7 linked regions of the Cricetulus griseus genome follow. The protein of the gene in region 6 interacts with the protein of the main gene of each other region in a pairwise test. Links are inferred from orthologs where the notes say so. Each region holds a gene or a part of one and is shown on either strand. Other genes may lie near its edges.

Evidence for each region.
Region 1: the proteins of Meox2 (region 6) and Trim42 interact in binary tests that used the Homo sapiens proteins (3 or more experiments, as listed by UniProt). The two-hybrid records come from large-scale screens. The link is inferred for Cricetulus griseus from reciprocal best matches to the Homo sapiens genes MEOX2 and TRIM42.
Region 2: the proteins of Meox2 (region 6) and Prkab2 interact in binary tests that used the Homo sapiens proteins (3 or more experiments, as listed by UniProt). The link is inferred for Cricetulus griseus from reciprocal best matches to the Homo sapiens genes MEOX2 and PRKAB2.
Region 3: the proteins of Meox2 (region 6) and Nck2 interact in binary tests that used the Homo sapiens proteins (3 or more experiments, as listed by UniProt). The two-hybrid records come from large-scale screens. The link is inferred for Cricetulus griseus from reciprocal best matches to the Homo sapiens genes MEOX2 and NCK2.
Region 4: the proteins of Meox2 (region 6) and Kdm8 interact in a two-hybrid assay, tested with the Homo sapiens proteins (2 studies listed by BioGRID). The two-hybrid records come from large-scale screens. The link is inferred for Cricetulus griseus from reciprocal best matches to the Homo sapiens genes MEOX2 and KDM8.
Region 5: the proteins of Meox2 (region 6) and Smad3 interact in binary tests that used the Homo sapiens proteins (3 or more experiments, as listed by UniProt). The two-hybrid records come from large-scale screens. The link is inferred for Cricetulus griseus from reciprocal best matches to the Homo sapiens genes MEOX2 and SMAD3.
Region 7: the proteins of Meox2 (region 6) and Sdcbp interact in a two-hybrid assay, tested with the Homo sapiens proteins (2 studies listed by BioGRID and IntAct). The link is inferred for Cricetulus griseus from reciprocal best matches to the Homo sapiens genes MEOX2 and SDCBP.

The regions. Positions count from the first base shown.
Region 1 is NC_048597.1:205,884,715-205,889,084, forward strand, and holds the start of Trim42 (tripartite motif-containing protein 42), read right to left. Parts: upstream 2,921-4,370; coding exon 2,580-2,920; intron 1-2,579.
Region 2 is NW_023276806.1:58,812,428-58,816,189, reverse strand, and holds part of Prkab2 (5'-AMP-activated protein kinase subunit beta-2), read left to right. Parts: intron 1-2,218; coding exon 2,219-2,352; intron 2,353-2,959; coding exon 2,960-3,028; intron 3,029-3,762. UniProt on the Homo sapiens protein: Non-catalytic subunit of AMP-activated protein kinase (AMPK), an energy sensor protein kinase that plays a key role in regulating cellular energy metabolism.
Region 3 is NW_023276807.1:4,950,577-4,954,338, forward strand, and holds part of Nck2 (cytoplasmic protein NCK2), read right to left. Parts: intron 828-3,762; coding exon 633-827; 3' UTR 1-632. UniProt on the Homo sapiens protein: Adapter protein which associates with tyrosine-phosphorylated growth factor receptors or their cellular substrates. Maintains low levels of EIF2S1 phosphorylation by promoting its dephosphorylation by PP1.
Region 4 is NC_048596.1:75,356,701-75,360,462, reverse strand, and holds the end of Kdm8 (bifunctional peptidase and arginyl-hydroxylase JMJD5), read left to right. Parts: intron 1-1,480; coding exon 1,481-1,630; intron 1,631-2,520; coding exon 2,521-2,613; intron 2,614-2,690; coding exon 2,691-2,855; 3' UTR 2,856-3,086; downstream 3,087-3,762. UniProt on the Homo sapiens protein: Bifunctional enzyme that acts both as an endopeptidase and 2-oxoglutarate-dependent monooxygenase.
Region 5 is NC_048597.1:175,186,742-175,190,503, forward strand, and holds part of Smad3 (mothers against decapentaplegic homolog 3), read right to left. Parts: intron 2,643-3,762; coding exon 2,449-2,642; intron 2,327-2,448; coding exon 2,195-2,326; intron 944-2,194; coding exon 869-943; intron 1-868. UniProt on the Homo sapiens protein: Receptor-regulated SMAD (R-SMAD) that is an intracellular signal transducer and transcriptional modulator activated by TGF-beta (transforming growth factor) and activin type 1 receptor kinases.
Region 6 is NC_048598.1:164,594,763-164,599,322, forward strand, and holds the start of Meox2 (homeobox protein MOX-2), read right to left. Parts: upstream 2,846-4,560; coding exon 2,332-2,845; intron 1-2,331. UniProt on the Homo sapiens protein: Mesodermal transcription factor that plays a key role in somitogenesis and somitogenesis and limb muscle differentiation. Required during limb development for normal appendicular muscle formation and for the normal regulation of myogenic genes.
Region 7 is NC_048595.1:154,149,715-154,153,476, forward strand, and holds part of Sdcbp (syntenin-1), read right to left. Parts: intron 2,580-3,762; 5' UTR 2,565-2,579; coding exon 2,514-2,564; intron 655-2,513; coding exon 576-654; intron 1-575. UniProt on the Homo sapiens protein: Multifunctional adapter protein involved in diverse array of functions including trafficking of transmembrane proteins, neuro and immunomodulation, exosome biogenesis, and tumorigenesis.

The sequences.
Region 1 (4,370 bases), on a different chromosome or scaffold from region 6:
TGATACAATGAATCAACAAATCCAATCTTGCCCAGTTATAGGCATGCTTTTGGTGGCTGTGCCTGGCATGTGGTGACATTACCGTTCCTGTTGCATGTGGGATGGGACATAGGGAGGTAGTAAATGACCTTACTAAAACAAGACAATCTCTGAGCTGAGCCAAGAACCCGAGAGCTGACTTTCAGACCATCAGTAATACACAAGGGTCTGCCTCTGGGAAACGGACATGTGACAGAGTATGGAAGTTTTAGAGTTGCTGGTTTAGGGAGTTTCTGAATCTCTTTTATCCTCAGTTCCCCAACTGGAAATCAAAGATGACAGCACTTCCTTGGGAGTTTATGAAGTATACCTGAGATGATCCATTGGAAGTGTGGATGTGGTCCCTGCAATCCCTCTCCTGTGCTATTCACCAGCTAATGGCCACAGTAGAGGAGGAAACCACAATAGGAGGAAATAGTATTCAAGCCCATGAACGCCCACACACGCATCTACTGTTGTGAGTTACAGGTCTTTATTTGTCTAATATCTGAGGTCAGTTTTATGTATTCAGTGGTAAGATCTACTAATGGCGGGAGGCTGCACTTGTGGAATTCAAGTGCATGCTCTGAGAAGCTGCAGTCAGTGTAAAAGCAGTTAGGGAAGTAAGTGACTTGGCTGTGATGAACACATTGTGGCTATTCCTACCATTTCCCTGTGCATAACAAGGTACTGGTCTTGGTGTTGGGCTGTGTCCTCTTCTGTCCTAGTCTTCCTGATTTCCCTTTGTCTCCTCCTCCTCTTTCTTGGCCAAGAAACCTGTGTCTCAGAGCACTGGCAGTCAAAGGTGCTTCCCAAGCATATTGTCCTAGGGTGGCTCTGAGTCACAGAGTGCCCCCGTATATCCTTAGACATCCAGACAGCCAACTCAGCCCTGAGGGCTTGGATGCTGAGATGCAGGCTGGCAGCCTCACAATTTTCAGCCTTGTTTTCTCTTGACTTCCCAGCCTCCTGCTTGTTCCTGGAAGGGTCACCTGGAGTCACGAGTTGATTGGACATGTGGTAGCTGCATGGACTTCTTTGATAAAAATGTAAGACTCAGAATCAGTATATAGTAAATGGAGAGAGTGTAAGAGATCAGAAAGAGAGAGAGAAGGGAGAGCAAGTAGGACTACGAGACACCTGTTAATGGTGCAAGGGGCTGCAGTAATTGTGAGAAAGGGAGTGAGGAAAAGAATGAAGCTAGCAAGGCTAAGTTAGACCAGAGTGAGGGAGAAATGAGGATGCTGTGCCGGCAAGGGGTTTGGAGACCAGGAGAGCAGAGTTGGAAGGTAAGTACCAGTGAATCAGAGCTGACTCCCTGGCACTTGCATCGCATCCCTGCCCACACTCAAACAGAATGAAGACCCCCAAGTAGGCTTCTGGGCCCCTAGATCCTATGCCAAAGCAGTCACTAAGCCCAGCATCTTTGCCTTCTTGCTGAAGTGCTCAGCCACTGCTTCTCTGCATCAGTCCCTCCATCCTGAGTGCTGCCCTGTTCTGGCATCTGCCTTCTAAGCCTCCAGGTCCCATCCTCAACTCCCCCAGTCTTCCCATTAGAATCACCTGATAGGGATAGAGTGCTTACAATTTTGAAGCCCAAGTTTTACCCCAATATCAGTGAAAAATAGTATGTTGAGGAGTGGAGTCCAAACATGATGAGTGTTTTGAAAGATCCCAAGGGGATTTTCATGCACTTCCAAGTTTGGGAGCCACTGATGCCTAAGGCGTCTGCCTAAAGCACAAATTTCAGTCCCACTCCTAAGGACTGAGCTGTGATCACCCCTCCTCTGTGAAATCTCCTCTTGCTCCTAAGTCCCCTGACATGTGACATAGAAAGAATAGTATGCTAGATGTTGGGCTTGCTACCTTACTGAGTGGTTGAGAACCTGAGTGTCAGGACTTTGGATAGGAAAGAAGGGGTGACCAGCAGTTCAAGTACCTCTGTAGGTTATTAGGGTCAAAAGTGGTACCTAGAAGTTCTTACTTCTCAGGTAAATGTTATAGTTCATAGGAGGGAGATGGAGAACAGTTGGTATTTTCTTTTTGTATCCTATAACAGGCTACAGAACATACAGCATATCATGGTCTACATTTTGTAATATGGATTTTTTTTTTAATTAGAGACCATTGACCTAGCTCTGGATTCAAGTAATGACTCTACCCCTTCCTAGCTGTGTGGCTCTGGGCAACTTAGCATCTCCCAGTTAAATATCCTCCTGGGTCCAGTGGGCACAGAATGAGGGAGAGGAATGGTTACATAAGCAGTTATACACCTATCACTTGTTTGCAAGATGAGATGTTTGGGGTCAAAGGGTGCAGCATGAATTCGCATCCGTGATGGAGTTTGGGTGTGGGACTTGAGGTCTATACCACCAGTGGATGCTCACTTTGCTCGTAACTGCTACAAAATTACCATTGATTTTTTTTTCTCTCTCTCCCAGGTAGAGTGCACTCTAGGAAACACTGGCTTGTTCTGGGGTCCCTACAGATAGCATGAGTTCCCCAGGGTTTTTGTTGTTGTTTCTTCCAATGTAACCACAGGATGGATGGCCAGCACTTACGAGATACGGAGGGTCCGAAGGCGACCCCTTCTGAATGTGATGATGGCATTGTGGCAGCAGCGGCTCTCATAGTAGTAGCATTTCATATTGGTGTTGGATGTGCAGCAGCACTTACAGTTGGGGTCATTGGCCCAGGAGCAGCAACACCAGTGACAATTGGGGTTCTCCGCACAGGTGCAGTGGCAGAATTGGCAGTTCCGCTCATCCTTGTAGGGACAGGGGAAGCAGGTACAGTTCCGCTCTGCGGTGAAGATGAACTTGCAGCACAGACAGGAGAATAGCCGAGGGCAGCATCTCTGCCAGGTGCAGCATGGAGAACAAACACACATAGCCGACTCCATGGCTCTAAGATCCTTGGTACTAGGCCTCTAGAGTTTTGACAACTTCCTCTACCAGATTCCTGAGGTCACTTCTCCCTCAGAGGGATCCTTGCCACCTCTAGTGATGCTGGCAGTTTGGGAGTTGTGGCAGGAAGTTGGCCAGTTTAGGAGGCCTTCACAGGTGATGTCCCTCCTAGGAAGCTTCTGAGCTGGCTTTAACCTATTTCAGCCTGTGGACATTTGCTTATGTCATAATCCCTGACTCCCACCATGCCTTAACATGCTAGGTAAGAGGAGGACACCCAGGGGGCAGTATCCAGTATGTGAGTGCATACTGGAAGTTTTCATGCGAGCAACTCCACAGGAATGGTGGCACCCTGAACCTCTTGGAGACATTAGCGGTCATTTGTCACCTTTCAAGTTCTCACACAGATTTCGGCTGTGGCTTTTCCTTGGTAGGTAGGTACTTTTCCTGATATTTGGGTAAGTTGACTTCAGGATTTATCTTTATTGACTGAAAGACCAGGGTCTGACTATTAGAAATCCAGGCCGACATGGTTTTTCTCTTCCATCAACAGAACTCTTTGACAAGCCAAGCACAATATTTACAAATAATGGCAGTGTCACGATCACTCTAAAAAGAAGGAACCGAAGGGACAGAGATGTGGGGTCCCTCAGGAGCTCCCTTCTTTCAGTGGACCCTGCTCATGTTCCTGAGGCATTACACTTAAATCACTCAGATTTGGGTCTTAGGCTTTGTTTCCTCTCCCCTGGACCCTCTGTCCCACTCCATTCCACCCAAGCCCACCCCACTGTATCCATTTATCAAGAGGCTAGGTTACACAATCATTAGCTACTCTGTCAATGTGTACCCAGGAGCCCCAGAAACAGGGCCCTATAGATGGGGGAGAATTTTGCTTTCCTCTTGGTGCAGCTTGCAAAGATGAAAGGAGCAGAGGTTTCATGGCCACACCATCCTAGAACAGGAACACTGTCTCATTAGATTTCCAAAAGATAGCAGAAGTGAGAGCTGAATTTGGCTGCGGGAGTTTTAGTGAATAATTTATTATCTCTTCCCATGATTATCACCTTTGTAATAGGAAAGAACACTCACTGAGTGCTAACTGGGCCAGCCTCACACAGAGCTTAGATCTCTCTGCAGTTGAAAATCCTGAATCCTAGGGTATGCTTTATCTGTTGATAGATCTTATTAAATTATTACTCCAAAGCATACTTCAGATTACACCAGCACCGGGAGTAGGTGCATGACACCTCTGTGTTTGCCCAAATTCAGTGTTGTCAATAAGCTGCCGACACCAGGGGTGCAGAGATCTGAGTTCCATTCACAGGCCATTTCAACATTGGTCTCTATAAGGCTTCCTTCTTTCTCTTTTTAAAAACATTGAGATGTAATTCACTCACCATGAAAGTGAACAAGTCAATGCCTTTTGGTGTATTCATTAAATTACAT
Region 2 (3,762 bases), on a different chromosome or scaffold from region 6:
TGGCTACGTCTTCCTAACCTGAATCAGCTAGTTTGAGAGCTCAGCTGACAATTATGGTTTTAGGAGAGCCTACAAGTGTAATTGTTGCTGAGGGAAAAAGAGAAAAGAGAGAAAAAAACAAACCAATAGCTGTTCTCCATGGAGTTGAATATACAGGGTGAAAGTCCTGTTTATTTTTGTTTGGTGTAATACCACTTTCCCCAAAGTCTTTATAGCTGTGCTTGTTCGCTGTAGTAGCAGAGGCACGTTTTGCAAACCATATCCATAGTTACTATCTCATTACTGTATGATGGAGTTGTGCCTGCCTGGAGAATTGCACACTTTCTGCACTGAGCATATGGCCTCTTGCATACAAAGTCTGCCTCTGCTACTTGTTATGCCATCGTGCAACTGACTCCCAGCAGTAAAATTGAGGGCTTGGACCCTCAGTGAGCCTCTGTCATATTGTCTGAAGTAGAGCACATAGCAGAATCTCAAGGACAAGGGACAAATTGTCCATAGCACAGTAACTACCAATTTAGAAAAAAAAAATGTTTCATTATATAAACTCAGAAAGTTATGGTGAGCATTCTTATTGGCTGGAGGGGTGGTGATCTTAAAAGGTTTATATTCTGAGGCCACTAGGACTATGATTATATTATGATCTGCAAAGTAACCAAAGAATATTTGACAGTCAATCATAATTATGTAATGGGAAGACTAAAACACTTTCGGGTTCACCCAGTTTCCTAATCCAGTGATGTAAGGCATAGAATCCATTTATTAGGAATATACAGATAATGGGTGTAGGCATGTACATAACTTTTCAATGTCCTACTTGGATTTTTTAGTGCCATGGACAGCACTTGAAAATTGTCCTGTGTTATTTACCAATGGTGTTTGTGGATATTTAATACAATGTTGTTGCTACTTCTTTCCTTTTGCCTTATATGTTGAAGCAAATTTGAGTTATTAAAATAGACTTACTAAAATCTTTTCTTTGGAACTTTAAAATTGTGAAACAAAGAAAACATAGTTCATTTAATTTTTGTAAATTTAACCTGAATGCTTTTCATTTTTTAAGTAGAATTCCGGTACCATAAAACACATATTTTTTAATTGTAAAATTTATCCTTTTATTTATTTATTTTTTTGATTATTGAATTTTAAAACCCATCTCTTTCTCCTCTCTGCCCTGTGTCAGTCACAAAGCTTCTGCCATATGCATTTGCCTGTTCTGGACAGTTCATACAAATGTAACCATGCACCATGTGGCTTCTTTCATTTAGCAGGCTTCTGGGGCTTTCATCCTTGTTGAAACATGTATCAGTACTTTGCTTGTTTGTGGCTGAATAGAAGTCCACGGTATGACAGTTCCTTCTTGGTTGTCCATCCCTTGTCGACAGACATTTGTTTTCTGCTTGGAGCTCTTACAAATTTTGCTTAAGAACACTCATGGTCAGATTTTTTTTTTTGGGGGGGGTAGCTTATGTTTTATCTTAGGTGATAAACCCAATATTGTAATTACTGGGTCACAAAGTTTCACTGTTTGAGGATGACTATACTGTTTTCCAAAGTGGTTGCACTATTGTTCATTTCTACCAGTGGTGGAAATACTGTAGTTTGAAGCCACAGTATTTGCCAGTGTTTCCCAGTACTTGCCATTTCAGCGGCAGCCATCCCACTGAGTATGAAGTGGTATTTTTTGTGGCTTACATCTACACTTCCTTGACTACAGCTACAGTGTGTTCTGTCTGCTGTAATCATTGTAGACTTAGAGTGTATAACGTTGTTGTCTGTTACTTTGGTAGAAATAAAATGAAATCTAATCTTTTCACATTGAGTTCACAGAGCATCTTTATTTCTACTATCACTTTGATTTTTTTCAAAAGCACTATGACTTGGGAAGATTTTTATCTTGAGGATGAGGAAACTGACCATATTAAAGGGATCTGTCCAAGGACATATCGCTGACAAATGGAGTTGGTTTCCTGGAGCCTAGGTGCTGGCCTCTCATCACTTCCTTACATCATGTTGCCTTGTTGGGAATCTTCCTGGTCCATGTTCAGGACAACTCAGACATTTCCTTTGCTCGCTTACAGTTACAGGCCAGTAGGTCACAAGTCCGTTGCTTCAGGACCTATATTACATTTAAGATTAATGGCTGTGTTGATAGTTTTCCTCATGCGTTATTACTAACCCTTCAACTTTCCTTCACGTTTGCATGAATATTTTTCAGACCTATCCAGCTCACCCCCAGGGCCTTATGGTCAAGAAATGTATGTGTTTCGATCTGAGGAGAGATTCAAATCCCCACCCATTCTGCCCCCTCACCTACTCCAAGTTATTCTTAACAAGGACACTAATATTTCAGTGAGTATCCTGAGCAGGTTGCTAAAGCGTCTGGGGAATCTTAGGACCATTGAGGCCAAACTTCAGGAATCTTGGGGCTGGAATTAGGACCCAGCTTTGTCAAGGCAATGAAATAAGCCATGTGCATGTCAGCAGCACTGTAGAATACTTTTTCCAAGACTGAACTTTAGGTACCAATAGCGGAATTTATAGTTGTTTCTGTTTCTAGTAAAATCAGAACCAAACTATGCTGGAATTAATGTCTACTATGACTTCTAGTCTATCACAAGATAAGGGTACTCTCACTAGGGGTTATACAGAATTCACAACTTTTTATGTAAGTAAATTTTATCTCTATTTTACTTAATTGATGGTTGATTCCCAAACCATCTATACCTGTCAGCAAGGTTTTTGTTTTAATTCTATTAAGGAAAGTTAGCAGATGTTGGGGCTTAGCATTTCACTCTTAGATTTAGGATTTTTCCAGATTTTATGATGTGGGAATACATAATTCATAGGAGACAAAGTGTTACCTATTTAGAGTTCTTAACAGTTCAAAGGAACAGTTAACTTGGTTTTGTCTGCATTTAATCACATTTGTGGGGGGTGGGGCTGTTTTTTCTCCTAGTGTGACCCAGCCTTACTTCCTGAACCCAATCATGTTATGCTGAACCATCTCTATGCGCTGTCCATTAAGGTAAGTGGTGGCCGCGACGCTCCACAGCCTCCCGAGTGGAAGGGTAAGAGTCACACATGCTTTTCGGTGGTAACTTGCTTTCTGCGGCTTTTAAAGCTGCAGTTGACACTGACAGTCAAGTTACAGAAGAGCCGTCTTTTCATACCTCAAGGCTGTTTGATTTTAAACTTCAGTCTCCTTTGAAGCTTCCCCCACCCCTCAGACAGGGTTTCTCTGTGTAATAGCTCTAGCTGTCCTGGAACTTGCTTTGTAGACCAGGCTGGCCTTGAACTCACTGAGATTCACCTGACTCTGCCTCCCAAGTGCTGGGATTAAAGGTGTGCACACCACCACCCATCAAACAAATTATTTGTTTTTGGTTCTGGGCTCAAGCTAGCTGAACTGTCAGTGATGGGGACCTTTCTGCTTCCCAGTGTCTGTGGGTGGCTGGAACCTTTGTACCACCTGTTTACTTAAGTTGGAGTTCAGGTAGTTGGATTCCATGTGCAGAAAATCAGGTATAGCTTCCTTCAACAAGTTCTTGAGTAAGACAGTAGAGCTTCCTAAGATATGGAATCAGCTGCAATGAGATGCCCTGCTTGTGTATACCACACGTTTCTATCGCTTGTATAGTAGATAGGGAGTTGGTTTTACCAGACGTCTATGTTTTTCCCACCCTTTCCCTAGAGTCCTTAGTTTCTCTGTTGCTTTAGTATCTTTGTGGCTTGAATGTTAGCATAAAGGTATGTAGTTCT
Region 3 (3,762 bases), on a different chromosome or scaffold from region 6:
AAACAAAAAACAAAAAAAACCCTCTTTTATTGCAAGCACAGCCTCAAAGGCACTGGGCAGTTCCCTCACCACCATCTCCCCAGGGTTTCCAGTATTGCTATCCGCACATTCTTGGACTCCTGCAGAGCCTGGAGCCAAAAAAAAGTAAAAATAAAATAAAAAATGCAGGTCCTGGACCAACATGGCTGATGGGAGGCACCAAGCACCCGTGGACACAGCTCTCAGAGTGTGCTATTCACTACATAACAGACTTTCTGCCCTCTGAATAAGCCTCAGTCTTTTACTGCGCGCGCGCGCGCGCGCGCGCGCGTGTGTGTGTGTGTGTGTGTGTGTGTGTGTGTGTGTGTGTGTAAGATTTAAACAGACTGCTTCCAATTATAAAGGAAAAAAGTGAGCAGCTTTGCTCCCTTTGACCCTCACCACCTGAAGGTGGCCAGAAGGTGGTGGCCGCGGGCATGGCTATGAGGGCCTGGGTAGCTATGTTTGGACCAACAGGGCTGCAGAGAACACACTGGGCCACGGAGGTGATCCAGGCTGCGTGGGTGGAGGTGGCTGGCACCGCTGGGCTCTAGGAGGCGGAGGTGGCAGCGAGGCCCACAGCGGGCAGGGCATGGAAAGGCTGACGGCTGCCTTCACTGCAGGGCCCGGACGAGGTAGAGTTTCTCCCCGTGCTCGCTGGTGAAGATGGGGGCCTTCTTGTAGTGCTCCACAAGCTCGTCCATGCTATGGAACCGCCGCTGCCCAATGCAGTAGACGCTGTCCACCAGCTGCACCTTGAAGTGCTTGTTCCTCCCTGACGCTTTGAGAGACACAGAGAAGTCACTGGGCTGGGGAGGAAGCAAACGGGAGTTATCAGCAGGGTAGCACCGTGGAGACCAGGGTCTGCCTGAGCAAGCACTGTGTTCACCCAGAGCAGCACAGTCCTTAGACCGACCTGCAGCCCAGGGCTTTCCAGTTTGCAATCAACCACTCATGAAATTCTGCTTCACATGGATTCGAGGGATAGATGCACCCTCTGACAAGCAGGAACTCATTATAGAGAGAATGACAGCGGGGTCAACCTTGAGGCAGAAGAACCCCGAGATATCCATTTCCCCAAATCATTTCTGACAAATTGGGAATTATTCAAAACGGCTTTCACGCAGGCGGGAAAACCGGAAAACCGGAACTGTTTCTTTCGATTTCTGTTAGAATGTAAACTCTTTTTAAACAATAGATACCGTCAAGGCAGTGGACAGCTTGGGTGTGTTTTAAACAGTTTGCCATGTCCCAGAGATGGCTCCATGGTGGTTCAAGCACAGATTTCAATGAGAAAAGTCTAAAATCTGTGATGAGTTCAGTTCCTTACTGACCTGAGTATATTTTGGCATATGCTAGTATTTTTAGTAAAATCGGCCATTCTGTCCATTTACTGAAAGCCAAAAGGAAGGGCACTGAGTGGAGGTATCAATTGGGTCAATGTTTACTTAATGTGGACTGCATGCCAGGCAGCCCTTGCCCTGCATATGGGCATGTGACTCTTTAAAGGACACCAGTAAGGAGGGCAAGCATGGAGGTCAGTCCATGACTGCAAACTGTGCTACCTTCTATAAAGAAAAAGGGAACTTCATGAGCTCATGAGCTGGGAGACACAATTTTAGCTGTGTGCTTTGTGTGTATGAAGGAGTCGTGCATTTTGTGAAAGTTGTGGGTAAGAGTGAATAGAGATATTAAGCGTGTGTACATCCATGTGTGTGACTCTGTACGAGTAAACAGGTGACTGCTGTGATATATTTGCACACTTGTGATGGAGCCAGGAAAGGCCTCTACAGATAGAGGAGCTGAAACTAAGTTATGGGCAGCAGGATTTTGCAGGCAGTGTGCATGGGACATATTGTAGAGACAGGAGGACTGGTTTTTCTGTGGCACTAAAGAGGTAGTGTGGCTCAGGAGGAAGTGAAGAGACTCACACTCCTGGACCCCTTTTACTTCCACTTACAGTGTTCTTGAACTGTCCTTTGTCCACTGGTTAGCCATTCCCTAAAGGATGTTCTCAAAAGTTCTAACATCCCTCTAAAGCCTGCTTGCCTAGGCAGGATCAGGCTGCACCTCAGGGCTCACCCTGAAGCGGTAAGGCCACACCCATGACAGGACCTTTCAAGTCTGCTCCTGCTTTTTCCATCCCTGGGGACTTGTTGCTTCTCAGGAGCCAGTATCTAGCCCTCTTTTCCATCAGGTCCTCTATGCAAAGGTCACAAAGCCCCATGGCTTATTTGATGGGGTGGGCAAGTACTGCAGACAAGAAGTCCATGCTTGCCATTGGCCATTCTAGGATAGGAGCCTGGGGCAGCAGGCTTGCCCACCAGCCACTGATGCTTTGAGAAAGGAATGACAATTAATAGCAGTTTGAATTTGTTATATTTCCATGCTATGCCCAGGGCTGGATGGCTGGGAGAAGGCCCAGCAAGAGATGGGCCTCAGGGTATAGGTTTTTAGTATCAGGGCCATGCATGAACCCCTGGGTGGGTAAGACACAGAACCTGACCTTTTCTTCAAAGGATTATGGACACTGATGTCACAGGTGAGCATGCCAACAGTCCCCATGGACAACATTTACAACACACAGACCCTTTTATGCTCTAGGAACCCCAGTAATGCTGCAAGTTGCAGATTGCTTTCTTTGGGATCACTGTTCCTGCCTTCTAGTGTCAATATTAAAGATGGTTACTTGAATGTAGTGATATGATATCCCAACCATGGACCTGGTAACCAAGATAGTTACAGTTGGATACAAGTTACAAGTATGCCACCTAGCCTAAATAAACACCATCTACAACAGCTATTATGTTCCCAGACGCCCAAGAATGAGGCAAACTACAGTTTGATGCCTTTTGGGAATATTCAAATTGCTGGCAACACTGGCTAGTGCCTTCTGATGCCAGTATTAAACTTCAATGTAACCAGTAGTATCCCTACCATTGACCTGATAACCATGATAGCTACAGATAGATATAAGTTAGCCTTGGTATTCTCTGTGGCCCACTTGGAAAGTGAGCAACAGGTACTACCCAACAGGCACACACTGTCACAAGCCTAGACACGGGCACTAAGGTCTCCAGGCAGTCATCAGTTTCATACAAGAACACACACAAGTTGTGAGCTATTCAACCGTCTCCCAGTGGTCCCAGGTTCTCTTTGGTGAGGGGGACTATATTTTAGTTCCAGGCTCTGCACTATTAATATTCTGCAAGTACATCTATTCTGAGCTAAGATGGGGCACCCTCCCTGTGTCAGCTTGCCAGGAGCCAGACTACTCTGATGGTTCTTTAACCAACCATGTCAACGAAGCCTTGTTTTCAGGGGCGTTAACTGGGGATGACTGTAGTAGGCATTGATGTGTCTGGTGTTTGTTAATTAATAGGACTTTCCAAACAGGGAAATTTGCTTTTCAGCTGAGATCCTTAATTTGACACCATGACGTGTGTGGGCTTGTTAGGACACAGCAGTAAAATCTTGCATCGGGGAAGGGGATTTTAATTTCATGGGCTTCTTGAGCGGAAACTGTCAAGTCAAGGACATACAATCAACTTATGCTAAGCAGGAGTGCCAGGAGTCTGGAGTGTTCTTAATTCAAATCGAGGAGATGTTCCTCAGGCAACCTGAAAATGAGCTACACCAGTAGACATCCCTTCATATTACAGGTCCCGACTGCCTCTCAGAATGTTTAAGACCACAAGTATTTTAGATTTTGGATCTTTCTTCTTCTTCCTCCTCTTCTTCTTC
Region 4 (3,762 bases), on a different chromosome or scaffold from region 6:
GGGCATCACGGAGGCGTTTTCCAATGCCACCTGGTGGTAGGGTACTCACTGCTACTCCTGCAAGTGCCTGAGACCCCAGCCTCTGTGACCCCAGTCACTCACCACAAAGGAGCCCAGTACATGCCCCCTTCCAGTGGGTCAGCACCTGTGCTCTGGAAGGCTTGTACTGGTCACCAGGTTGCTGTGTGGATCAAGGTCCCGCTGCCTGTCATGACCCATTGCACCAGGTCAAGTCTTCAGCCTTTGCTTACATCATAAGTGGGTAATGTGGAGTGCTGCAGAGTCAATTCTGCTCACTTGCTAGTAAGACCCAAACCCTTCCTCACTCGCTTGAGTGCCTGCCTTGGTCCTCTGGTGGCTGGGAAGTTTATGTACTTGGTCCTAAAGCTCTTTTCTGGCCTCTGAACACTGTTCACTAACTCCTCCCTTCCCAGAGTGGGTTTAGTAAGCAGCCTACTTTGCTGGTCTTTGTAGTAATTCATTTAAAATATACCAGTTGTGATTTCTTCACAGGTAGTAATTTTTTGAAAACCATCCCCTCCAGAGATCTGAAAGTACCCAGTGCACTTGACTCTTGGGGCTTGTTATTTGTTGTTGTTGTTGTTTTTTGTTTTGTTTTGTTTTGTTTTTGAAACAAGGTCTCACTATATCACCCATGCTGACCTCCAACCTGTCATGCTCCTGCCTAAGCCTTCCAAATGATGAAATTACAGCTATGTATCAACAAGCACACTGTGGTTCTTTTTATAGTGTTTTTAACTTAACACTTGATTGATGTGATGACTAGTGCCTTTAAAGCAGATGGAGTTCTGTGAATTCGAGGTCATTCTAATCTACATTATGAGTTCCAGGCCAGCCAGGACTACAAAATGAGCCCATCTCAAAAACAAAAAGACATTACTGTTAGTAAATGGCAAGATGCTTTTGGAGGAAGGGGGGATAAAGAAGCAATACCAGGTTTTAAGAAGAAAAAAAAAATCTATGTGATTTTCTATGTGATAGAAACAAATATGAAGCCGGGCGTTGGTGGCGCACGCCTTTAATCCCAGCCCTTGGGAGGCAGAGGCAGGCAGATCTCTGTGAGTTCGAGACCAGCCTGGTCTACAAGATCTAGTTCCAGGATAGGCTCCAAAGCCACAGAGAAACCTTGTCTCAAAAAACCAAAAAAAAAAAAAAAAGAAAAAGAAAAAGAAAGAAAAAAAAAGAAACAAATATGAAGCACGATTATAATTTTATCTATTATTGATATTTTAAGATTTTATTCATTAGAATATGAACCTAAGCTGGGTAGGATGGCACATACCTGTGATACCTGTACTTGGGAGGCTGAGAGAAGAGGATGAGAGATTTAGAGACTGTCTCAAAAACAAAACAACCAATGAATCAAGGAATGTATTTGGCTCTGTCAAGTAGTCAGATATCAGCTGGGTCCTGACTAGCATACCTAGCTCTGGCTTCTGCTTTCTGCCACTACCCTCAGATCCCAGAGTTGAAGCAGGACATCAGCATTCCTGATTACTGTTGCCTGGGTGACGGGGAAGAGGAAGAGATCACTATCAATGCCTGGTTTGGTCCCCAAGGAACCATCTCCCCACTGCATCATGACCCCCAGCAGAACTTCCTGGTCCAGGTAGGAACTGCTGCCAGACAGAGCTGAGTAAGGAGCTTGTTGTGGTAAATACCCACAGTCCCAGCACTTGGGAGGTTCAAGGCCATCCTTGGCCACCTAGCCAGTTCAAGGCCAGTCTTGAGACCTAGTCTCAAAGAACTGTGTGTGTTTGGGGGGGGGTAGTAAAAAGGATGTAGACAGAAATGCATACAAAAAAATAGTCCTGAGGCCCTGGGGTAGGACTTCTCCCAGGTCAAGGCTACACCCAAGAGGGATTTCTCTGGGGCCAGACAGGAAAGCTCTTGGGAGGAGGGCCTGGCATATTCTAGCAGCCCCATGCCCTCTCTGTCACCTGCCAGCCACCCTCACTCCCACTGCTAGCTTGCACCTGTGGATGGGGCCAAGGTCTCTCAGCCATGGACAGATGTTCCCAGAGACTCAATCAGAGGTTTGTCACAAGGGAGGCAGCACACAGCCACTGCTGTGAGAACTTGTCACAGACTGAGTTGCTAAAAAGACTTAAAATGAGAGCATTCTTGCAGAGCATTGGGCCAGCCCTGCAAGGCAGCTCAGTAGCAGCTAAGAGCCAAGGCCCAGGAGCCTACTGCCTGGCATGGCCACCAGCTGTCACCTTAGTAAACTTGGGCAACCTCTTTGCCTCAATTTCCTCACAACTGAGGTGAAGAGGAAACCCCTGAGATTAAACCAGGTCCACACACAGTGCCTGGCTGAGCTTAGCTACATGCAGAACTATAAGGTACCTGCAGGTGAGCACTCTCTGAATGTCAGAGCATGTGGGACAAGGCAGCAGGACACGGAACACCAGAAAGGCCTGGAAGGACAGGTCCACAGGCCTGTAGTCAGCGGGACAGCCTTGCTGTCCTGAAACTGATGAGTCTCTTGTCTCCCAGGTGTTAGGAAGGAAGTACATCCGGCTGTATTCCCCGCAAGAGTCCGAGGCAGTGTATCCTCATGAGACGCACCTTCTTCATAACACCAGCCAGGTGGGCACATGGGGAATCGGTGACATGGGGCCTGCTGTCCCTAGAGACCAGCAGATGACTTTTCTTGCCTTTTGCAGGTTGATGTTGAGAACCCTGACCTGGACAAGTTTCCCAAGTTTGCTGAGGCCCCATTCCTGTCCTGCATCTTGTCCCCAGGAGAGACCCTCTTTATACCTGCTAAGTATTGGCATTACGTGCGCGCCTTGGACCTGAGCTTCTCAGTCAGCTTCTGGTGGTCATAGCCAGGGCCAGAGTGCAAAGGACCCACCAGGCAGACACCTCACCCAGAGGCAGTGAGCCTGGGGGAAGGCATAGGCCCTGGATGCTGCTAGATTCCAACAGTCCTGCTCCCCCAGCCACTCTGTAAGAGCAGAGCTGCTGTGTGTACCTCGGCCTTCCAAATTATAGATGCTTCATTTCTTTTCTCTGTAACTTGAATTTTTTCAATATCATAAATAAAAATATTTTCTGAATTTAAAAAAAACGTTTCTTCAACCCAATTACCCTGCTGTCTCTGGCAGAGCAGGCAACCAGAGGCATTGGGAAAGGAAGGGTAGGAAGTATGGGCCTTAGGAGAGACACTCTGCCCATGGTCTATTAGTGGCAAGTACTGAAGGAAGGGAGCCACATGTGTCACACAAAGGAGGCTGGCCCAGAGAAGCAGAGACCAGAGCAGTCAGGACAATGAAAAGGCGGACAGGCAGGAGCTGGCTAAGGCCACGGGGCCTACACAATGGGTGAGGACTCTGGAGCCTTGGGAGGCTGGCAGTATAGGCTGTAACTATAAGTGTTTATAGAGTTTGCAGGCCTAGCTCTGGATGGGCTGGCCTGGCTTGTTAGTGATAAAACCCATCCTGGCCAGGTGGTGGTACATGCCTCTAATCCCAACACTTAGGAGGCAGAGGCAGGCAGATCTCTGTGAGTTCAAGGCCAGCCTGGTCTACAGAGTGAGTTCCAGGACAGCCAGGGCTACATAGAGAAACCCTGTCTCACAAAACAAAACAAACAAATCCTGAATTAGCTTAGGTAAAACCTATGGGTTCCTACAGCACTCCTGGGCGGCTCAGAACAGGTCTGGACTCAAGACCACTGTTCCCTACTTCCCTTCCTCCACCTCTCTGGTCTCTACTTGGTTTCACTGTTTTCCCT
Region 5 (3,762 bases), on a different chromosome or scaffold from region 6:
GGGGGGGGAGCTGAGCCACGCTCTGCAGCTGGAGGGAGGCTGCCTAGCTGGCTCACTTCCCATGCCAGCACTCCGTGCATAGCTGCAAGTTTGCAGTGGCCACTTGGCACTGAGTACAGGAAGGTCTTCCATGCATTCCAGCTGGGTCCATGCTGCCAGCCACATGCCTGGATGGGTGTGTTTTGGGGGTGTGCTTGACCTAAAAGCACAACACCCCTGTGACTACGCTTCTCCCCCGTGTGATCCTTTTTCACCCTTCTGTGAATTGTGTAACCTCTTGTGGTCTGTGCGTGAGGCAGCCCGCCACCGTGGGAACGGAACATCTGCTGGGCCCTTTTCTCCCTCCTCACCCGCCACACATTATAGAACAGGTCCTGTGTGGCAGCTGGGGCTCTATCCTAGAAGCTGCTGGTTTGGAACCAATTTGGTCCCATAACATATGACACAAGAAACATCTGGGAACATAGCAGGAGAAAACTAGGGCCAGTCCCTCCCAGCAGGGGCACGCTGATCACAGTTGGCCACTACATTTGGAAAAAAAGAAAAAGAAAAAAAAAGTTGCTTCTGGTATCTTTGCTGGCCACCAGCAAAGGCCATTCCTCCATGCAGGTTCCCCTCCCTGTTCACCTGCACTGCGCTGAGTGTGGGAACCACCTTCTACCCTCTGCCAACCCGATGGTCTAACACCTCAACATCTGGGACAGGCTACACTGCCAGTAAAACCACTTTGTGTCCCTATGGCACAGAGTTCCTTCCACCAGTGATGTACGAGGCACACGGGGGATACTCTGTAGACACTAGCCAGACAGGAAAGCAGGGAGACAGAAGCGGGGGAGAACAGGTCTGCAGGAATGCACACACTACTGACCTGCATCCATGCTGTGGCTCATCTGGTGGTCACTAGTTTCTCCATCTTCACTCAGGTAGCCAGGGGGTGGGGTTTCTGGAGATGAGAAGGCAGGCAGCTCCATTAAAAGAAATGCAAGGCCTGGCCCTGACATTCCATTTGTTGGCCAATATATCCTGCATTCATTCCACCACCAAGTACAGGGTGCCTAGAAGGAACCTGGGCCTTAAGGGAAGGTATCAGCTCCTGGCCTCGGCCATGCTCAGACTTGTCCAGTGTTGCCTTCTGGCTCCTAACCTGGATCCTAACACACTGACTCCTAACTCTGAAATGCCTTGCTCTAGGACTACAGCTTAGCTGGCTTGTCCCCATCCTTCAAGGTCAGGTTAAGAAGGGAGGCTTTAGGACATGCCTGCCTTACCATCTCTGCCCCCTGAGGAGCTGTGGCCTTGAGCCTGTCCCTGTACAGATCGGCTGCTCTTGTCACTGTCGTCTCTAGGGGATGTGGCTTAACTCCCTAGTGAAGTTGCCATTCAGTGGTGGCACACTCATGAGCCGTTTCTTGGAACTGTACTTCACCCTCCCACCCTGCCTTAGCCCTCCAAAGTCTGCCATCTGACAGAGAGCAAACAGCTTACCCCCCCCCAAGCCCCCAAGAGCCCAGTACTACCTGTGAGTATCTGAGAAGCCAGACAGCTGGCCTCAGCGTGCATGCGTCCTGACCCAAGACACGGGCCACAGCTAACCTCAGCCCAGTAAGCCAACCCAGAAAGCGAAAGCCACATCCAAATTAGAACGCTCTAAAAGGAACACAGCTGGATCACTGCCCCGAAAGCAAAAATTGCCCTGACTGGCCCTAGCGTGGCCAAGCACAGCTTCCCTGGATGCCCAGAGTGCCTGGCAGTGATTCACACATTATTTGCATGTAAATGAGGGGCTTCTAGAAGCACTGGCACAGTGACAATGAAATCCATTCTATCTACTGCCTCAGCTCCACTATGCCCAGTCCAAAGCTCAGGGTACTCCTCACCCCATGCTCTGCAGCCCCTCCCCTTCAGGGACCCCGCCTGTGTGCCAGCCCTATGGGCTGGGAGGGAGAGCAGAAACACAGTGTTGCTATTTCCGCTTTGAAAATAAATGACGGCACTGAGGCCCCGCAGAAGGGTCACAGGGTCCTTCATGCCAAGAAAAACATCGTTAGGGGAGCTTGGGCCACCAATGGTTCCCGGCTGGGATGTGGTTCAGAATCAGGGCCCACGAGCCTGCTGCATGAACAACGACATGGAGAGGATGGGGAAATGGCATCATCCCTGCCTCCTGGCTGCCTGTGCTGCCACCCATGCCTACCTGGAATATTGCTTTGGGGCTCAATGCCAGCGGGGAAGTTAGTGTTCTCAGGGATGGAATGGCTGTAGTCATCCAGCGGGGGGAACTCGGCCGGGATCTCGGTGTGGCGTGGCACCAACACTGGAGGTAGAACTGTCCCCAAGGGAGACACAACAGAGGTGGGTCAGTGCCAGGGGACCGAAGTCACAGTCCCAGTGGCACTTTAGACCCTCCAGAGTCAGTGGGATGGGGAAGGCAAGGCTGCACACACATACCTGGTGTCTCTACTCTCTGATAGTGGTACGGATTGACGCACACTTCGTCCTTCTTCATGTTAAAGGCAAACTCACATAGCTCCATGGCCCGTAACTCATGGTGACTGTGCAGGTCAGGCCATCGCCACAGGCGGCAGTAGATAACATGGGGAAGCCCCTTCCGATGGGACACTTGCAGCCGGCCATCCAGTGACCTGCCATGGCAAAGAAGGGACAGAAGGTGTCAGTGAAGTAGGTTTGGACTGCTGTCTCCCATGTCCAACCACCAGCAGCTCCTTGGGAGTTCAAGTTTGCTGGCAGATACTCTCAAGTTCATTCCTCCCCCAGACACCAGAGACCAAGAAATCAAAGTACCACTGTCCTGTCCCAGCTCCCAAGAAGCAAGGAGGTCCTCCAAGGAAGGCCAAGGCTTCCCAGCTAGAAGAGAGACCTTGCATCCAATAGACCCCAGAGTTCTCCCAGCAGCAGCTCTCAAGGAAGGGAACCTGCTTGAAATACACTCAAACAGGTACACATGACACCAGTCTTGCCCCTGTAGAGGCAACCACTGGACAGGGTGAAGGCTAAGTACAAGACTACAGTAGGAAGCTAGATAGCAGGTACAGCTGATCTGATGAGGAGTCTGACTTTTCTGTAAAAGCAGTAAATGGCCTCTAAGATGTTTATGTGGGCTGTGTTCATGCACAGGAGTGAAAAAGTCAAGTGCTGTGATAAGTCTGGCTGCAGGTGGCCCACAGGTTGGGAGGGTGGGGTGGCAAGTATAGAGTAATGCAGGCAGGGCTGCCCCTTCCACAAGAAGGCTTGGCCTAGGAGCCCTGGGTTAGGAACATGATGTTTCTAGTAGCTGGGTCAAGCTAGCAGAGAGCCATTGAAAACTGACCTTCTGTCCCTAGGGCACCTATGGGTCTGAATCCAACAGATTATATAAGTGCTTTATAAGAGAAGGGCTGGCCACATGTGCCAACCAGAGCCAAAGAGGGTCCAACCAATCTCCAATCCACTGGCCTGGACTGGGAGGGACAGAGGTCAGTGCTGGGCTTGGTCACAGGGGCTGACTGAGAGCTGCTGACTAAGGGCATGTGGAAGGATGTAATTACCTCCCTCCCATGAGGCCCAGACCAAGGAGCCCCTACAGCTGAAAACAGTAATTACTGAGCCGAACAAGAGAGGACAGTCTGAGACTAGTCCTGGAGACACACAAGGAAGTCAGCCAGATGTGCAGTCACAGGACCTGAAGATGTGGCTCATGCTTCTGACTAGGCAGCCCTGGGTCCCAGGACCCTCAACTGCTGCATCTGTAAAATGGGGACAGTC
Region 6 (4,560 bases):
AGACATTTGTTAATTATGTTGAAATAATCGAGCTGGGCCTAATGAGGCTTATGCGTTGATAAAAGAACAGTATTATAACTATTTTCTATGTTACTTTATCCTCTAGTAAGTCAAAATGTTTACACAAGAGTATCAGATGACTTGATCTTCAGTTGAATGTTCACTGAAAAAGGCGATAGATGGCTTGGAGTTAAACTTACCTATGATCTAATCGATGTTAACTCAGAGATTGAACATATAGATTTTATTTTCAAAGTGTACCAAGACAACTGATGCTTGCCTGTGATGGCCTATCAATGGAAACATTCTTTCTACGTTGGTCCCCATGATAGTATCCTTGCTAATGATCATACTTCCCGTTCTTGTCAAGCGTTACTACACCCCCGGTTGACACAAATTTCTATTCTGTTTGCTTGTTTCTATGTTCTAAAATGAGATTCACAACATGAAAACAAGCTTCCCTTTGCTGTGTGGTTATTTTCCATCGGTAAATGTGATGGAAACGACTGTTAGTCAATTTTAAGTCGGTTTTTATGAAAATAACTTAAGGATGTAAATTTTTTAGTCCTACTCTCCATTTCTGCAACTAAAAATAACTGTGGCCCAACAAAAACTCCTTCGAGTGCATAAATAATCTTTAGGGCATTGATTCAGCTAAGAAGCTGGCCATGGTTTCCCCTTGCAGAAAGAAAAAGTGCTTCTGGCTCTTGCTGTGGTAGCTACCAACCTGCTGAGGCCATCCAAGCACTCCAGTTCATAAATGCCCAGCCTGGGGAACCCCAGTGCATTCTAACGTTTTCACTGGTATCTTTTCAATAGCTTAGAATTTCCTATGTAGTTAAAGATAACCACTGCAAATCAATGACAGTGCTGGTAAATTGCTTAGACACAGCTAATCATTGTGGAGCATTAAAAAGTCATCCCCGACCTAGGAAAATAAAAGTTCAACCATCAGGTTGGTAAGGGTCACCCCACAAGGAGGCCAAGAAAAGTTTCTGTCATTTTTCAACATGATTTAAAATACACAGCAGTTACTGCCATACACTGCAGAACACCTGGACTAAATTGCCTAACATGCTACATTCTTTTCCATTATTTCCAATGCCCAGATTCACATTTCCTAAATCTCCATAGACTAACACAAAAGATTAAATAGATGCAAACTTTTTTTTTTTTTAGTTAAGTGACATCTTCCAAAGTATGTACCCAGGTTGCCATGTTCCTTCAGAGCAAGATGCAATTAAAAAGGAGGAGGAGGAGGGGATGAAGAAGGAGAAGAAAAAGAGAAACATCTTAATAATGAGAACTATAGCTAAGGGCGTTATGTGCTGTCTAGAAACTCAGTTTCTCTGAACTGCCACAATGCACTTGCTACTGAACTTTCAGGCCCTGGAAACCACTGGGGAGAAACCTTTGCTTTAGCTGCTCAAGTAATCCACACTTTCGCTGTTCACTCTGCTGCATCTTCTCCCACCACTGTCCGAGCTGCTCTTGTGCTCTCCGGAGCATCTCAAAACTCTACTCAAACAAGGAAGGCTTTTACTTTCCACTTTCGAAGTTCAGGGATTTTTTTGTTTGTTTTGTTTTTGTTTGTTTTTTTCCCATAGGATAGCCTCACCTGAGTCTAATCAAGAATGACCTTTCTTCAAATCCTCATCCATTTATTTATTCACGATTTTTAGATGTATTTCTTGAATACTTCTAGATTTCTAGATAGTGCCTTTTTCGGCAAATAAGTTAAATGCTTTTTAAAATTATTACTATTTTAAGTAGAATGCTATTTACGGAACTCTGAAAGCGAAACGTTAAAAAAAGAAAAAAATAAAACTTTTCTTTCGAGTATTTTGTCAAATCCCAGTTAAAGTTCAAGATATTGAGCAATAGTCTAGAAATCCAGTTAAGGATGGGAAAACTCGAGCTGTTCAGAATTGGGAAATTGTAAGGGAAAAACCAAGAAGCGCATGCATGCACACAGGCATGAACGCCCAGCCGATGCAACATCCCAAGGCTCACACCCCTCCCAACTCGTGGATGGAGCGCCATGCTCCTTAACCGATTTCGCATACTGTCACTCGCTCTTTTTTCACCGCCGCTGGAAAACTAGTTTATGGTCTTGTAGGGCTTTGAAGGGGCTGGACGTAGATATATTAACCTCAGCGAAACACGTGCTCCCAAATTACAGGGCCGAAGCTGCAAGGACGAATTCGGCCAGGCCACTGAGACTGGAAGAGCTAGGTATTCCTTAGTTTGTCTGTGAGAACCTTCTCGCAAATCCCTGCCCCTTCCCAGCCCAGGGAACACTCTCCTTAGAGGTGCTCTGCCCGCACTCACCTGAGCTGTCGCTTTTCCTCTTGCTGCCACTTCTCTTTTCTACATCCGCGGGTGACAGCGCTTGGCGGCCATAGTCCCCTGGTGCGCACGCGGCCCCGGTCGGGGTGCTGGAACCCAGACTGGATGAGTTGGAACACAGGACCGGAGGGCTGTTCCCCAGCTCCGGAGGCCCTCCCGAGTCGGGCTGCAGGCACAGGCTGTGCCGAGCCGCGCTAGGCGGGGAGGACATCTGCGGGAGGTGCCAGTTGCTCTGCAGAGCCTGGTGCTGCTGCTGCTGGTGGTGGTGATGGTGGTGATGGTGGTGGTGGTGGTGCCCCCTGTGATGCTGGCTGGCAAACATGCTCTCCTCGTTGGGGTATCCCGCGATTATGCAAGACGAGGAAGATGTGGAGAGTTCGGGGTAGGACATGTGGTCAGATCTTCCATGGAGGGCCAGAGAAGACTGCGAGAAAGGGTGCAAGCCTTGTGCTGTGGCGTGCGGGCTGCGCAGGCAGCCAAAGAGGGGGTGTTCCATGGCATGCAAGTCTGGACTTCCAGGCAGAAGACTTCACGATGGTCCCAAAGGCCACCAAGCTCTGTGACTTTTCACTGGAAATCCTAGAACTCTTTTTTCCCCCCACACTCACACACTCCCTAAGAGTCGCGCCTTTGAGCAGAGCTGGCTAATCCCAGTCCAGAGCCTTAGCGGCCAGTCTCCTGCACATATAAACACTGGGACCTGGAGGAGCTTCCCTCGCAGCTGCTCAGATGTCAAATGTGGGAGAGGTGGAAGCCAAAAGAAGGTGGTCCCAGAGAACTGCTTTCACGGGGGGGAAATGGCTCAGAGAGGTTATAAATAGAGTGTAATGTGAGCTGGGGGCTGGCTTAGGAGCCCAGAGCTGACCACATGCAAACTCTCTCCAAAACTCCCGCTCACTCAGCGCCACCATGCTCTCTCATTTCCAGTTCCCAACTGCTGGCAGGACAGGAGCGGCTGCTCCACGCCCGCCCGGCCCTGGGAGCTTCCACGACAGCCAGTGGAGAGTCCAGAGCCTTAATAAGCAGGGCCACCTCGATCTGTCCCATAGGCTCCCAATGGCCAGGCGCGCACCCACTCTCAGTCTCGCTAAGCCAGCACCAAGTGTCCCGTCCCGAGTCTCTTTCAGCTCTTGGTGGGGGTAGGGGTGGGAGTCACCTGCAGGAGCTCCGGAACTGCTCCCTGACCTTGCGGACCAGGAGAACTTATGAGAATTCAAGAGAAGGGAAAAGGCTAGAGCAGTCTAGCTTTTCAAACTCCGATACTCGCAGTTCCCGCGCCCGGGAGCGCAACATGGTTTTCCCCTTTCAGTTGTCTGAGGATAGGTTGTTAAAGATAAAATAAAATAAAATAAAATAAAATAAAACTGATGCCAGGTTGGAAGTTTCAGGGCTGTGCCCCAATGATAGCATAAAGCTGTTCTAAGTGCGGAAAAGAAAGGTACCTGGTTGAGTGAGGGATGGAAAGCTTGAAGCAGAGATGGACTCAATTTCTGATGCCCTGGCATCACACAAGTGCTGCTCCAACTTGTGTCTCTTTCCTCCTTTTTCAGACCCTCCTCCCACCTCTCTTTACTAGTCCAGCTCGCTCAATTTCCTAACCATTAGCTCACCGAAAGTTTTCCTAGGTCAGTGATAATCTGAAGCAATGTCAAATGAAATGTGCTCCCAGTTTAACTCTTTAGGAGCCAATCGACAGCCCCCTCTAATCCTTCCGGACAAACATTGTCTTTTTCTGTCTGAGGTGCTCTTTTCACCCTTTCTGTTTCTCACCGCTTGTCTGTTGTAAGCAGACACCACACTGAACACTCTCCAGTTCTCTCTGCTAGGACTGTTCAGTTCCCCCAGTTTACAGTCTCCTCCTGGAAAAGAACTACACAACTTGCCACTGGTGGATTTTGGAGAGCTGGGGATAGGCTGGGTTTGACACAGCCACTAGCCTAGGGACTTTACTGTGGGTCCTGTCGTTTACCCACATTCTGAGTGTGCCACTATGGTTAACTGCGTATGTTTATTGTCTGAGTGACCAGAAGATGATGGCCAAGTCTTTGAAATTGCTAATGGGGTTAATGAGTACAGCAACCTGAACTAGACATCTGGTTTAAATTAGGGAAAGGTATTGATTAATTTTGGAGGGGGTGTCCCCAAGGCAGAACCCTTCCCTTGGCCTGTCCTGGTATTAGTCTGCTGCCCTTTATTTTAAGAGGTTCTCCA
Region 7 (3,762 bases), on a different chromosome or scaffold from region 6:
CTACCACTTTTACAGTGACAGGCATCGTCCAAAATCTTATCCTATGATCTATTTCGACTTCAGAGTAGATTCACTCCAAAGAATAATGTTAGGCAGCCACCCAAAAGATGAGAGGCCACAGAAACTTCATGGCGGTCCTGAAGCCCCCGAATCTACAGAGTTTGAACAATAACTGCTGGATTTGAGGTAACACTCAACCTCAAAGGGAGCTTCTGAACTCCCCACAAAGGTGTAATGAGGCAGCTCAGAATGCCTGCAGGCAGCTACATCTTATCAGGAAAGCTGAAGCTCCATGCAACAGTGCTTCCCCTTTAATGACCAGGCCATGTTAAGGACTATGGCTCAAACTAAAATACAATTGCATTATGTCCTAAAACATACCTTCATACTCAGAGAGCACTCTCTTGATTAAATACAGGTTAGTTCTATAGTAAACCATTTTTCCTTACTGCTACTGGATTGTTAATCACAAATTCATATAACGTCAAAATCCTAGGTTCTGAACTTCAGAGGGAGAAAAAAAGGCTTTGTATATATTTCTTTCCAAAGAAAATGAGCCCAAAGTATGAACCTACTTCCATCTGTAGGGTAAGCACCAGAAACATCCACCAAAACTGCCTGGGTGGCAGGGCCAGAAGAAAAGGCAGTCTGAGCCTAGAAAAGAAAATATTTACATATACTTAAATGATTTACAAGTTAAATCTAGATAGAATTTCCCAAAAGAAATGAACAATTGAAGCTTTACTCAAAGTTTCATTTTAAATACTTCAGCAACCATTTATTTTCCAAAGGAAATCTATAAATAAAAAAAAATGTATCTTTTTTATAGTCAGTGCTTCACAGTATTCTGCAAATAAATCCACTGTATGTGCTTTCTCTATTGGTATTTGAGATGAAGCCTGATGTAGCCCAGGCTAGCATCAAACTCCCCATTTAGCTGAGTACTGCATTACCATCAACTCCTGATCCTCCTGCCTCCTCCACCTCTGAAGTGCTAGGTTTACAGGCATGTGCTACTATGCTCATTTATTTCATGCTGGGGTTGGACTGAATACCGGCCTTCACGCATAACAGACAGGCCCAGGCTATAAAGAGCTCGGAATTGAAAATGGTTCTAGGAGTATGTGGCACTGAAAGCCACGGCTTAACGGCTATTGCAAAATAATTTACGGAATATGAACTGCCAGTTCACTGCTGTGGTGCAAAGGGCCAGAAGACAAGAAGGAATGTAACATTCCTCTGTAACTTCTTGCCAGGGCATCTCAAGCAGTCACCCACCCTAGATAATGAAGCACAACAACTAGCCCAAAAGGCTGGACTAAGAGTGTTTTGAAATCTAACCAGAACAGAAGAGCCATACCCCACCTCTGCCCAGCCCTGTTCCATCTGCCAGTAGCTAGCTCTCTGCCCTGAACACTGAAGGTCCTTGAAAGGAATCCACTTCTCTTAAAGGGGCCAGCTGACGTAAACTGAAGGCCAGGAAAACATCTGTCAAAATCAACTGCCTTCTGTATTTCCACAGTGAAAACCCTCTACTAAAAGCCAACTGTGGTTAACTTAAGTTCAATTCCATACTCAGCTACTAAAGAATAACATGGACAAAGATCATTTTTTGCAATCTGTATGTTAATCCTTAATGTACTAATGTAATATTGATTGATTTTAGGCCAAGTATTTCAGATAAAAGCTTTATGAAAAGAGAGCATGTTCAGATGAACTTTGTGAAAATTACCACAGGAGGGGCAAAACTTAACACCACAGAAAAGGCAGACATTTAAAAATGACTAACCATGCCCCTCATAGCTTAGAAGCATCCCTCCTTGGCAGCTCACTGCACACTTCAGATGCTAAAAGCTACATGTAATATCCTTCCTAGACTGAGGCTGGAAAAAAACTGTCCTTGGAGCAATTTCCCCACCTAGTGCCACTGCATCAGTCCCTGGGACACCTGAGCTACTATTACTACCTGGTTCACTCTCCTTTCACCCCAGAATGGTATCAAGAAAAATGTACCAACTTTACACAAAACTATGACTATCTAAAGACTTACATGCATATTATATACTCCAACTTTTATGAGTTATATGCAATTTAGACTGTACTAAGAAAATGAAACATTCTGAAGACTGTAGAAATACTTAAAAGAAATACTATCTGGCTGGAGAGTGGTTCAGGGGTTAAGCTGTAGAAAGTATAGTGTTCGTAAAGCAGACCCAAGTTCAGTTCCCAGCACTGGAGCCTATGGAACCTGGCTGTTCACAACCATCTGTAACTCCAGCTCCAGAGAGACCTCTTCTGGTCTCACAGGAGTCTACACGCATGTGTCCATGGCATACACATGCATGCATGGGCTAACAAATATACAGAGAGAAAAAAGAATTTCTAGTCTTCTTGAGAAAGTTTAGTCTACAACAGACTTAGACATAGCAATACACCAACAAATGCATGCTTCCCATTTCATTTCACTAGTGAACATGTTATGAAATAATTCTTAAAATTAAAAGCAAACGTACCTGAATTACTTTGTCTACCTTCAAATCTTCAAGAGATGGATAAAGAGACATTTTTGCAGGTTTTTTCTAAAAGAAGAAAAAAAGTTTTTAATGTCATAGAAATATACACAGTATGTACGGCCAGCAATATGCACATAAACATGGACAGTGCTGTTTAATACAATAAACATGTAAGTTCAAAAGCCATAACAACAGGACTGGTTAAGGCATATCATAGTTGTTAACATTTAATAGTTGTTACCAAACTCCATCTCTGTTCCCATAGCTACCAAACTACATTCATCGTGGATTTTAAACCTTAACAAGAAAGGCTGCCTTAACTTCACAAGTTGTGAATATCAAAGACAAGAGGCATATGACTTTTGCTTAGCTGACACAGTGCCCCTCAGCAAAGCCAGGGTCAGGAAACGGGCCTTTCACAAGATCTATTACCTTCTAACAACTAGAGCCAAGAGCAAACAGTATGCAGTATCAGCATGTATGACAGCACTGGGAGAATACACATACGTACAAGGAAAAACTAACATATGCCATCTGTTTATTTTTTAGCAATGGTTTTATCTTGAGGAAACAGCTCTAAGAAGGAAATTATTACCTTTCATTTTAATATTTCTACGCTGTAACATTTTTTAAGCTACCATAAATAGCTTTTTTGCAACAATTTAAAATTCTCTGTAATATTGCAGACACACATTTTACATTTTGTTTAGACATTCTGAGATAAATACCCAAGACTTCCCACTTAGCCAAATAAAACAGAATGTATCCTAATTGTTAAAAGGTTTTGGCAAATTACTGAGCCAGCCCATCAACCTCCTACTTCCAAATCTATTCCTTATTTCCTGCTCTCCAAAAACAGAGCTGAAGCTCTTAGAAGACAGGATGCTGCTGCGTGTTCAGCAAGGGCAATCAGGGGCACAAAGAGCATCTCAGCCACGCTGGGCCACCATCCTCTCCAACCAGATCCCCACAGGACATGCTTCTCTAGCAGCTTAGCCCAGCTACGCTGAGCAAAAAAGCAACACAGAAAGCCATCAGGCTGGAGCAGGTAGCCCAGACCTTTTCATATGGCTTTGCAACAAATTCTAAATGTGACATGCTATAGTAAACACTACTGGAAGTGCTAAGGAGCACCTCACAAGGTATTGAGAACTATTGGAAGGCAGTTTGTTTCAGTGGTGCACTCTCTCAGTCCTAGTAGTGGCTACTTATTAAAACTAAAACCCCAATAGCAGACATGAGAAGCCCT